3 linked regions of the Nothobranchius furzeri genome follow. The protein of the gene in region 1 interacts with the protein of each later gene in a biochemical or structural test. Links are inferred from orthologs where the notes say so. Each region holds a gene or a part of one and is shown in the gene's direction. Other genes may lie near its edges.

Evidence for each region.
Region 2: of the proteins of nedd4l (region 1) and sgk1, one has a biochemical effect on the other in vitro, tested with the Homo sapiens proteins (5 studies listed by BioGRID). The link is inferred for Nothobranchius furzeri from reciprocal best matches to the Homo sapiens genes NEDD4L and SGK1.
Region 3: of the proteins of nedd4l (region 1) and ndfip2, one has a biochemical effect on the other in vitro, tested with the Homo sapiens proteins (2 studies listed by BioGRID, with this or other methods). The link is inferred for Nothobranchius furzeri from reciprocal best matches to the Homo sapiens genes NEDD4L and NDFIP2.

What each region holds. Positions count from the first base shown.
Region 1 is NC_091746.1:58,541,510-58,545,163, forward strand, and holds part of nedd4l (E3 ubiquitin-protein ligase NEDD4-like), read left to right. Parts: intron 1-2,942; coding exon 2,943-3,038; intron 3,039-3,140; coding exon 3,141-3,214; intron 3,215-3,292; coding exon 3,293-3,353; intron 3,354-3,490; coding exon 3,491-3,550; intron 3,551-3,654. UniProt on the Homo sapiens protein: E3 ubiquitin-protein ligase that mediates the polyubiquitination of lysine and cysteine residues on target proteins and is thereby implicated in the regulation of various signaling pathways including autophagy, innate immunity or DNA repair.
Region 2 is NC_091742.1:622,938-625,341, forward strand, and holds part of sgk1 (serine/threonine-protein kinase Sgk1), read left to right. Parts: exon of another isoform or gene 1-256; coding exon of another isoform or gene 257-356; intron 357-455; coding exon 456-531; intron 532-740; coding exon 741-816; intron 817-912; coding exon 913-1,101; intron 1,102-1,194; coding exon 1,195-1,326; intron 1,327-1,835; coding exon 1,836-2,072; intron 2,073-2,144; coding exon 2,145-2,240; intron 2,241-2,316; coding exon 2,317-2,404. UniProt on the Homo sapiens protein: Serine/threonine-protein kinase which is involved in the regulation of a wide variety of ion channels, membrane transporters, cellular enzymes, transcription factors, neuronal excitability, cell growth, proliferation, survival, migration and apoptosis.
Region 3 is NC_091754.1:54,373,586-54,377,708, reverse strand, and holds the start of ndfip2 (NEDD4 family-interacting protein 2), read left to right. Parts: upstream 1-1,174; 5' UTR 1,175-1,324; coding exon 1,325-1,351; intron 1,352-4,123. UniProt on the Homo sapiens protein: Activates HECT domain-containing E3 ubiquitin-protein ligases, including ITCH, NEDD4, NEDD4L, SMURF2, WWP1 and WWP2, and consequently modulates the stability of their targets. As a result, may control many cellular processes.

The sequences.
Region 1 (3,654 bases):
TTATCAACTTGTTATGAGTCTCTAATGTCTCGTCATGCAAACTCAAGAACTTTTTATACTCAGAATCAGCTTCATTTAAACACCGTTCATTTTTCAGTAAGTTGATGTTTTGTCTTAGTTTGCTAAGCTTATTTAGCTTTTTCTTCCTTTCTTCTTCTAAGTTACCAATCTTCATGACCAAAGCTTTGGCTGTTAATTTAACTTCCCTTTTCTCAGCTGATCTATACTCCAAAGCAAAGTTCTGTTCCCCTTGGAGCTCAACACCAACATTTTCCTCTTCTGCCATGACAAGTGGAATGTCTTAAACCTTTGTCCAAACAAAACCCTTAAGAAATTTCACCTTCACAAGTCACTGTCTTTATTCTTTAATGGCTAAGCCCAGTGTTCGAGGTTACCTCTTGTGCTTCAATGTACTTTTACCGCACTGTTGCTCCTCCAATGCGATGACGCTCCTTCGATGCGCACCTCCTCTTCAGCGATGAGCTACTCCTTCCACTGCGCGCTGCTGCTCCAGCGATGAAGTTGCCAGACGCCTGCCCCGGTGGCAGGACGCTTGCTGCTCCTTCCGCTGCGCGCCGTCGCTCCAGCGTTGAGGTCGCTCAGTGGATCCAACGCTGAAGTCTCCTGCCCCAATGACAGGATGCCCGCCGCCCCTCTGATGAGCGGTGCTCCGCTGCGAGTCGCTCTTTCTGTCTCGCACCGCTGCTCCAGCGATGAGGTTGCCAGACGCCTGCCCCAGTGGCAGGGAGTTCGCTGCTCCTTCCGCTGCGTGCCGCCGCTCCAGCGATGAGGTCGCTCAGCGGATCCAACGCTGAAACGTCTGCCCCAGTGGCAGAACGCCCGCCTTTCTTCCGCCGCGTGCCACACCTTTTGCGCTGAGCTGCTTCCTTGATGTGCGCTGGTCTGCCGCCCGCCGCTCCAGCGACGATCTTCAGATGCGCACCGCTCTCTGACGCGCGCTGACCCTTCAGTGACGAGGCCGCACAGCTGATCCAACGAAGACACCTCTGCCCCAATGACAGAACGCCCGCCGCTGTCTGCTGATGTGCTGCTCGTTCTACGATGAGGGAAGGACAGCCAGATCCCACGCAGAAACGCCTTCTGTCCCAATGACAGCTCGACGCTCCGTGCTTCTTCCAGACGCGCCGTTGAAATGCGCGGTTCCTCCAGTGATCAGGAAACAGCTGATCCAATTACGTCTCTGCTGCCTTGATTGCAGAGGACGCTAAACTTCCTTCGCCGACGGGACAGTTTTTTACCTTGAAGTGTAGCGCCAGTGCCCTATACACTGGCACTACCTGGTAGCTGTTGCGGGTGGTCTTTACGTGCGCTTTAAGAAATGCAGCTTGAGTTTATTTCCGATGATGTTTATTATTTTGTCTGGTTCCAAAATGTCCATGATGATCCATTTACAGCAGTTAAAGTGGGTTTCAGTGCATGCGTTACTTGCCCCAGTGACAATCCGCAGAGTCCGTTACACCCAGCCACAGTCCTCGCCACACAGTAAAAAACTGTTTGTCCCATCCAGCCACCCCTGAGTCCAATCTGTGTTGGCTTAAGTAGGCTGGTGCTTCCACAAGCAATTAACCAATAATATTAGGCCAAGCCTCCTCTCAAGTGCACAAAAAGAAATGACACATATGGCTCCTACAGGGAGTCTGATGTGCTTGCTTGAGGTTGAACGATCTGACAAAATTCGTTCGAAAATTGCGCTCCCAGGATTATTGACCCTAATGGCCCTCCGTCGGTAAGGTCTTACCCAAACACAAAAATAACGCTTGCTTGCAATGATTTAGGTATGTCCTGCCCTTTATTGACAGGGAAATACACACCATCATTTTAATAACTTTCCCACTTCTTCCTCCTACTGGTTGAAAGCAGAATCACAGCCGTCATAAACAACACTGCCGTAGCTTGCGCTAACACTGAGCTAATGCTAACACAAGTTGATTGACACTAAATAAGCCAGGAAGTAAAAGGATCCACTGTTGGTCAAAAAATATTTATACCCAGGACACTATCAGTCCGTTCATCCGTCAGCTCAACCAAACGAGTGTAGGTCGCGTCGATGTTCACGCTGGAAAGATAGTTATTTATAAATATACACAGAAACATACTTTTTATTGACAAATGTTTCCTTAAGATGTTAAAACTCAGAAGAGCTTCATGTTTTTATTTTCATATTTGGTTTTTTTTTCTTCTGTTTTAAAACTTTAGTGTTCCAAGAATAGGGAGCCTAAGTCACGCCCATCTACTTCCAGACCGTGGGCCCCCGGAAGAACGAAAGAATGAATGCAAGTCAATGGGGCTAAAAAACGCTATTTTCTAATTCGCTTGTCATGTGCCATGGATTTCACATATGATGTCCGTGAAATTTTTACACACATTTTGTTACCAAGAAAATGCTTATTTTCGAACAGGGGGTACGATATTTTAGGTTTGGTGTGAAAATAAGTCCAGGACTACAAATGCGCTTTACGAAAGCGACGTCATCGAACCAGACACGGAGAAAACGGAGGGGAAAGCGCTGTAAGTTCAGCAAACTTCCCACAGGAGGAATGAACCACCATAAATCTGGCCATGTAGTAAGCAGCAGCTACGTTAGGGGAGAGGAGATGATGTGGTGACGTCAAATATGCGACGTGCGATTTCTAGTTTGTAGTCATGCTTACAAGCTAACAAATCTCAAAGTACGTGACTGGCATGGTCGAAATACCAATCCTTACTTTTCATTGAAACTGCAGTACAACATGTGCGATCCAGGGCGTAAGACGAAGCAGATTAGAAAATAACACTTTTAGCCCCGTTGACTTGTGTTCATTTTTTTGATCTTCCGGGGGACCCATGAGCCGACCAGAAAGGAAGGAGACTTGGGCTTTATATAAGGCCTAAAATTTAACAAAATAAAACAAAAACTTACAGCTCTTTGTTTGTCCCTGCAGGACAGTGAATACTATAACTCACTGAAGTGGATTCTGGAGAACGATCCCACAGAGCTTGACCTGAGGTTTTGTATTGACGAGGACAACTTTGGACAGGTGTGCTGGCCTTACATTGGTTAATTTACGCAGCCTAGACCTCATCAATTGCTTTAGCATCAGGAGTTTGTTGACCTTCATCATTTCTGCTTTGGTCTGCAGACTTATCAGGTGGACCTGAAGCCCAGCGGCTCAGACATGGTGGTCACCAATGAGAACAAGAAGGAATACATAGAGTAAGGCTTTCTTCTTCCTCCTCTCTTTTCTTCTTTAGGAATATTTGTCAAACCGTTGTCATTTATCTTTTCTGTCAGCCTGGTCATCCAGTGGAGATTCGTCAACCGGGTCCAGAAGCAGATGAATGCCTTCTTAGAGGTATTTATGTGTAGTGATTAAAAGTTACCACATGGGGGCGATGTAACCACAGACTAACCTTGGTTTCCAAACCTTACCCTTATGTTTATTTAACTGATTTACAACTTTAATCATTTTATTAATCATTTTATTTTCAGGGCTTCACAGAACTCATTCCCATCGATTTGATCAAGATCTTTGATGAAAATGAGCTGGAGGTATGGACACGTACCTTTAAATAAAAAGTAAAGTGGAGGCTTTTTTTATTATTAAATCCAAACAAGATTATTATTCTTTGATATGTTTTAAATTATTACTCAAT
Region 2 (2,404 bases), on another chromosome or scaffold:
CAGTACAGCTGTCACGGAATTGCTCAGACATGCCAAATTTTTGTCCTCCCCTCTTATTTTGCCCGGTTCTCTGACGCAAGCGCTCTGAGGCGCGGCTGTGACGCAGAGGGAGCGCAGCGGACGCTGATTGGTGAGGAGGTCACCACCTTAGTGTCCCGCCCACCAGAAAGTGGGTATCAGCAGCTCCTCCCTCCCGGTTTCTGCTTATAAACCAGGAGCTGAAAGTAAAAGGTTAGATTCTGGGCTTGAGCAGCTGATGAGAGCTGCAGCTGAGCTCGCCATGACGGTCAACACAGAAACAGAAAAGCCTGTCTTGACTTACTCTAAAACTAAAGGCCTTGTGGAATTACTCACTGGTACTTTGATTTAATTTTTTTTATTGTTTGGAGCATCCTGCCCTTTCATTTTTGGCATTTTGATCTTAATTTCTCCTGTTTTTGTTTGTGTTTTTGCAGCTTTTATGAAGCAGAGGAGGATGGGTCTGAACGACTTCATTCAGAGGCTCGCCACCAACTCCTACGCCTGCAAGCAGTGAGTACCATCTGAGTCATGTTATTGTTCTGCCTCCACATTCGGTCAAATCGTTGAAAAACACAAGCTGGAATGCGAGGGATTTGTCTTCTGAGGACATTTTGTGACTCAACCGGAGTCCTAGATCAGCTGATTCATCTGCTAAACAACAGAGGATTGTTTTCTTTCGCCATATCACAAACTACTTTTTGTTTCTGTTTTTCTTGCAGCCCTGAAGTTCAGTCTATTCTGAACTTGAGTCCTCCTCAAGAAGCAGAGCTGATGAATGCAAACCCTTCTCCTCCTGTAAGTAATTATATATAATTATATTTGCAGGGATGCACAGATGCGTCCTCTGGATGTGCTTCACTAACTTTTCTTTGCTCCGCGTTCCTCCTGCAGCCCAGTCCATCCCAACAGATCAACCTTGGCCCGTCTTCCAACCCCTCCGCCAAACCCAGCGACTTCCACTTCCTGAAAGTGATTGGAAAAGGCAGCTTCGGCAAGGTGCTGCTCGCGCGTCACCGCTCCGACGACCAGTTTTACGCCGTCAAAGTGTTACAGAAAAAGGCCATTCTGAAGAAGAAGGAGGTACAACGTAAAACACTCACGCACACGGGTTCCGTCGCGTCACAAAGCCTGTTTGTATAAACGTCTCTGACCTTTGCACTCTTTTCTTTTCAGGAAAAGCACATCATGTCAGAGAGGAATGTGCTCCTGAAAAATGTCAAGCACCCGTTTTTGGTGGGCCTGCACTACTCGTTCCAGACAGCAGACAAACTCTATTTTGTCTTGGACTACATCAACGGGGGAGAGGTGAGCAGAGGACACGCCGAGACACAGAAAAGGCTCTTTTAAACTAAATCTTATCACAGATGAGATAGATGGGGAAATCCTGTTATCTGAGGCAGAATAGAAGTTGTCCCTTTCTGTATTTTTTTATAAACTAAAGGAAACTAGCTCAGGAAATGAGAGGTTGGGCTGGGACAGCCGGAGAAACTCGGCGGCCAAATTTTGCTTCTAATCGAGCTAATTTCCTGTGATTGTTGCACGAGGAAAGACACTGATGATTAAATATGGACTTCATCAGGAAGCAGGGCACATTTACTCTCTTTCTTCTCTCGCCCCCCCGGCCCTAGTGTCATCTGTCTTGTGAAACTTTTAAAGCTGTCGCCTTCCTGCCTTTTTTATTTCCTCCCATCTTGTTTCCTCTACTTTTTTCTCTTAGTATTTTCCTACCACTGCTCTTCTTCTTTTGACACCTAATTTCCCAGCAGCAGGCTATTCTCTGCAGGTTTTTCATGATGTGTTTTTCTGTTTTGCAGCTGTTCTACCACCTGCAGAGAGAGCGCTGCTTCCTGGAGCCCAGAGCCAGGTTTTACTCTGCAGAAATCGCAAGTGCACTGGGATACCTGCACTCCCTCAACATCGTCTACAGAGACCTGAAGCCAGAGAACATCCTGCTGGACTCACAGGGACACATCATTCTCACCGATTTTGGGCTTTGTAAGGAGAATATCGAACCCAATGGGACCACGTCAACTTTCTGCGGTACACCAGAGGTAAGGAGAGCATATTTATTCACAAGTGTCGTGCTTTGAGGCTCTTTTATAACCTACGTTGTATTTCTCCAGTATTTAGCTCCTGAGGTGCTACACAAGCAGCCATACGACAGGACAGTAGACTGGTGGTGCTTAGGAGCTGTTCTATACGAGATGCTCTATGGTCTGGTAAGCCACGCGTCATGCATTTAACATATTCATGTGATTGCTAAGTTGCTTACTGGTTCTTTTTGCCCCTCGACAGCCTCCGTTCTACAGCCGCAACACAGCTGAGATGTACGACAACATACTGAACAAGCCTCTGCAGCTGAAACCCAACATTTCCAATGCAG
Region 3 (4,123 bases), on another chromosome or scaffold:
TATTATTATTAACAACAACAACAACAACAACAATAATAATAATAACAATGAAGTATGTCCATTAAAATTTTTCAGGATAAAGCAATCCCATTTTCATAATAATGTGTAATGCTATAGAACAAATTTGGTAATTCACAGTTGAGTACTGCTTTTGTAAAATTGTTACGTTTTAAAATATATTAATTAAGCTGAGTTTCATTTGTATAGCCAACAAGCACAATGATCACAGTGCTTTACAGAAAAAACCCCCAATAAAATTCAAATCAAGTTTAAGTAAATCTAGTAAAATAAAGGATTATTGTGATTTATCAATCTAATAAAATATAGTCAATTAGAATTCAAGAAATTATAACATCATGGATTAATGCAAAGCTAAAAATGCGGAATCATGAGATTTTTAACACACCAATGGTACCCAGGTGGGTGCAGGGGTGTCAGTTGTGAAACCCCAGGGATTAGTTATCTCGAATATTTTTATTAATCAAAATACCATACTATACCATTCTATTTTTATTTATATAGCGTGTTTAAAGATTGCATGGCAGCTAACCAATGGGGTGTGCGTGGAAGGAGCAAGATGCTCAGACAGAACAAAAACGGCGTTCCCAAAGTGACAAGAAACAAACATTAAAAATAATTATTTTGAAGTGATCATGAAATGTAAAAAAAAAAAAAAAAAAACCTAAATAATATTTTCAATGACATTATTTGCCTTTTTAAAACAGGGTTTATTTGTCTTGCTTAAATAGAATATGATGCCTCAGTGAACACCCATTGTGCTTTAGGGCATAGTGACTACTATTCTATTCTATTCTATTCTATTCCATTCTATTCTATCATATCATATTGTAGCATATCATAATCGCTGACTTTAGTATTTGTTAAAAATTGTAGCAATCTTGTTTTTTTACTCCAACCACGAAGTGCAAGTGGCTCTGTGCAGCTTTTTATTTTGTTTATGTCACCATAAATGTGTTAATTTTAATGCACTTTGATATATTCTTAAGCATTCTTTACCCCGTGTGTTTTGTTGCATTTAACGGAAAACGTTGGGAAAGTGTTTTACTTTGAAATGTCAGATCGGAAGCGCCCCCCCCCCCCCCCCCCCCCCCCCCCCCCTCCCAGCCTGGTTGACTGTTGCTCAACGTTGGCTTGTCTATTTTCCTCAGCGAGCTCATCGGGTCAGCAGCCATTTCTGTCGCCGTGTTTCTCCTCCTTTGTGGAATCAAATCTTTCCGTGACTGAGAACTCCGAGTGCATTCACAAGTCAGGCTCGTATTTTTGTTTTCTGGCCTGGCTTGTTTGCCGGCTGAATCTAGTCGGGATGGACCCAGCAAGCCGATACCAAGTGGTGAGTAAATCCCGAAGAGCAGGGATCAAAACAGTGGTGGATTACTCGGCCTTCTGCTTGAACCAAAACGGGCCTTGTTTTAGAAACATAAAAAAATATTTGCGCTTTAGTTGTTTAACTCCAACTTATTTTATTTACACATAAATACTCTCCAAAACCCTCTACCTAATTACTCTAGTCGTTTTTTATGTTTAACAAATAGCTTAAGTCTTTTGTTTTGATATGTGACAAACTACTTCCGCATTGGCTAAGCTAACATTAGCCGGCACGGCCTTACACGTTTGAAAAGATGTGTTTTTTTAAACAATTTATTTCCAAAATAGTTTTACAAAGTTTAAGGGACATTAAACAGTCCTTTTCACAATTTATGACAATATTAGATAAGCCTGATAGCACGTGTTTTAGCATAGAAGGGACTTTTTGAAGTTGCTTCCGTTATATATATAAAAAAGAAAAGTCCCGGAACATCTTAGGTGTGTTCTTGATGTGTCTTTCTAATTCCATGCTTTCGTTCTTTTTAAACACAGAAACAGTTTTGTTTACCTGTTTTGTAGAAAAGTCCCGGAGCGGAAACGATAGGCGTGTTTTTAAAGTGTCTGTTTACTTTGTAGATTTTAATTGCAGTACAATTTAAAAAAAAGGTACTTGAATATCAGGTGTGGTTTAGCTCAAACAAATACGTATCAGTTATTTTTAAACGGTGACATTTAATATAAAGTCAGTTTTTTTCTGCTTGTGGTTGTTTTTTTTTCTGTTGATTATCCCGCAGGGTAGCTCAACAACACACCAGCTTCCAGGAATTAGGTGGCCAGGGTCTTGACCGCCTCCTCTCAGCTTTCTGAGGGCTTGGGGGGGGGGGGGGGGGGGGGGTATTTGGACACAGAAGGCGGTTTGTGGCGGCGTTGTTAGCTTGTTATGTAACGCTTCATGCACTGATCCGTCCTTGGTTCAGAGCCACTCGTCCACTCACCGCCGGAAAGCAAATTCTCAACTTTATCATGACAAACACATCTCTGAAGCTTCTCCAGGTATTAGTCACATCCTTGGTTAGGACTAAGGGTGCTTCCCTTGTTTAGAGTTGAAAGAAAATTGCCCTTTCTTCATGCAGAACATTTTTTCACGATCCTTATTTTTTAAAGTCTACATCAGGACAGGACTATGCAAGAAGATTTGTTTTTCCAAAACTCTGACTTTTGTTGTTGCTATTTTTTTTGCAATTGTTTAGTGGCAGCTGCCTCCCTACTCACCCAGGAATTTGATTTAAGGCTACAAACAAGCTGAACTCCCTCAAGAAACGAGGTGGAAAAGTTTACCAACCTGCGTTATTTTTATTCAGACGAAGAAAATGTTAAAGATTGTGATTTTGATGTTCTCTCAGGGCTCCTTCCTGGCTTATCTTTGGTTTACGAATAGCGCTACGTGGTTATCTGTGGTTTTGGGTGACGTCTGATTCGGCCTCGAAGCGAATTTAGAGCTTAGAAACTGTGAAACCACAGTCTCATGCTCAGATTGTTGGGTAAAAGAAACAAAAATGTCCCATTGAGTCAGCTCGTCTCAGCTTTGTTGACACGTGAGAGTACAGACTTGCCTGTAGATGTTTTTCTTCTGAAGGTGAGAAGGACTTGTTCCCTCGCTTCACCCTCCCAGAGTTCATTCCAGGCACTCTACCCATCATGTCCCATCGCTCCTCTGTAATTTCAAACGGCTCTTGACTCTTAGAAGGAAAAATGGGCCTAACTTTGCAGCTGGGCCTCTTGGATTTGGCGGAACGCTTCATTTGGTGATTGCGTTTATGCAGATTGCTTTTCCAGAGACGTACCAACGTGGCCTCTGGTGTCCTAACGCGTCAAACGCTGCCAGTACTCCTGTATTTATTTATTTATTGGAGCAATCCTGTGATAATTCAGACCTTTTTTTTTTTTACATTAGCAGTAATTTATCAGCTGTTGACCTCACTTTTCACTTAACCAGGACACTTGGATTATGCGCAGATTAGCTTTACTGTTAACTCATTCACTGCCAGCCGTTTCCTGATCGCTAGTAGCCTTCGATGCCAGCGTTTCTCACCGTTTTTACTGTGTTTTTAAGAGTCACGGAACGTTGCGCGCTAGGATGATGTCGATGCCAAAACTAAGAGGAGACTCACCTCTTACATCAGGAAGAAGCCGTGTGTTTCGAGCGTTATCCGTTCTTTCATAATCCGTTGTCGACTTGTGATCGGCAGACGCTTTTCCGGTTCGCGCCTCACTTTTTTTACAGGAACGGCCCAAAACGATCTCCTAATACATGGATGTTCTGCTTCCTGATCACGTGACGTGTGACGCATGTGGATGAAGAACGGCTTCAGGGCTGAGATGTTTGTTCTCTCAGCGCGGGGGCTCGTTCCGATGCTCAAACAGTAAAAAAATGCAAATGACGACTTTAGTCGTCAATAGCAGTGAATGAGTTAATGCATCTTCCAAAAATCAATTCTAAGCTAGAGACGTGACGTTGATAAAGGTTTTAGTTCCACTTCAGCCCTAAATAATCACAATAGCAGCATAATTGATCCTAAAAAAGAGCAATATTTAAATTATCTTCTCATATTTTACAAGCATCCAGCGGCCTAGAAGTCTAGACAAACCGTATCGGTAGCTAAAGGGTTTTGCTCTGCAGGTTGGTCTAGCCATGCTCCGTTGGAGCTCAGCAGGTCTGCCATTGGCTCAGCGAAGTTCAGGCTTGACCAACCTCAGCTCTCTGTTTGGAGTGAGACGATGAGCGGGCCTAGCAACA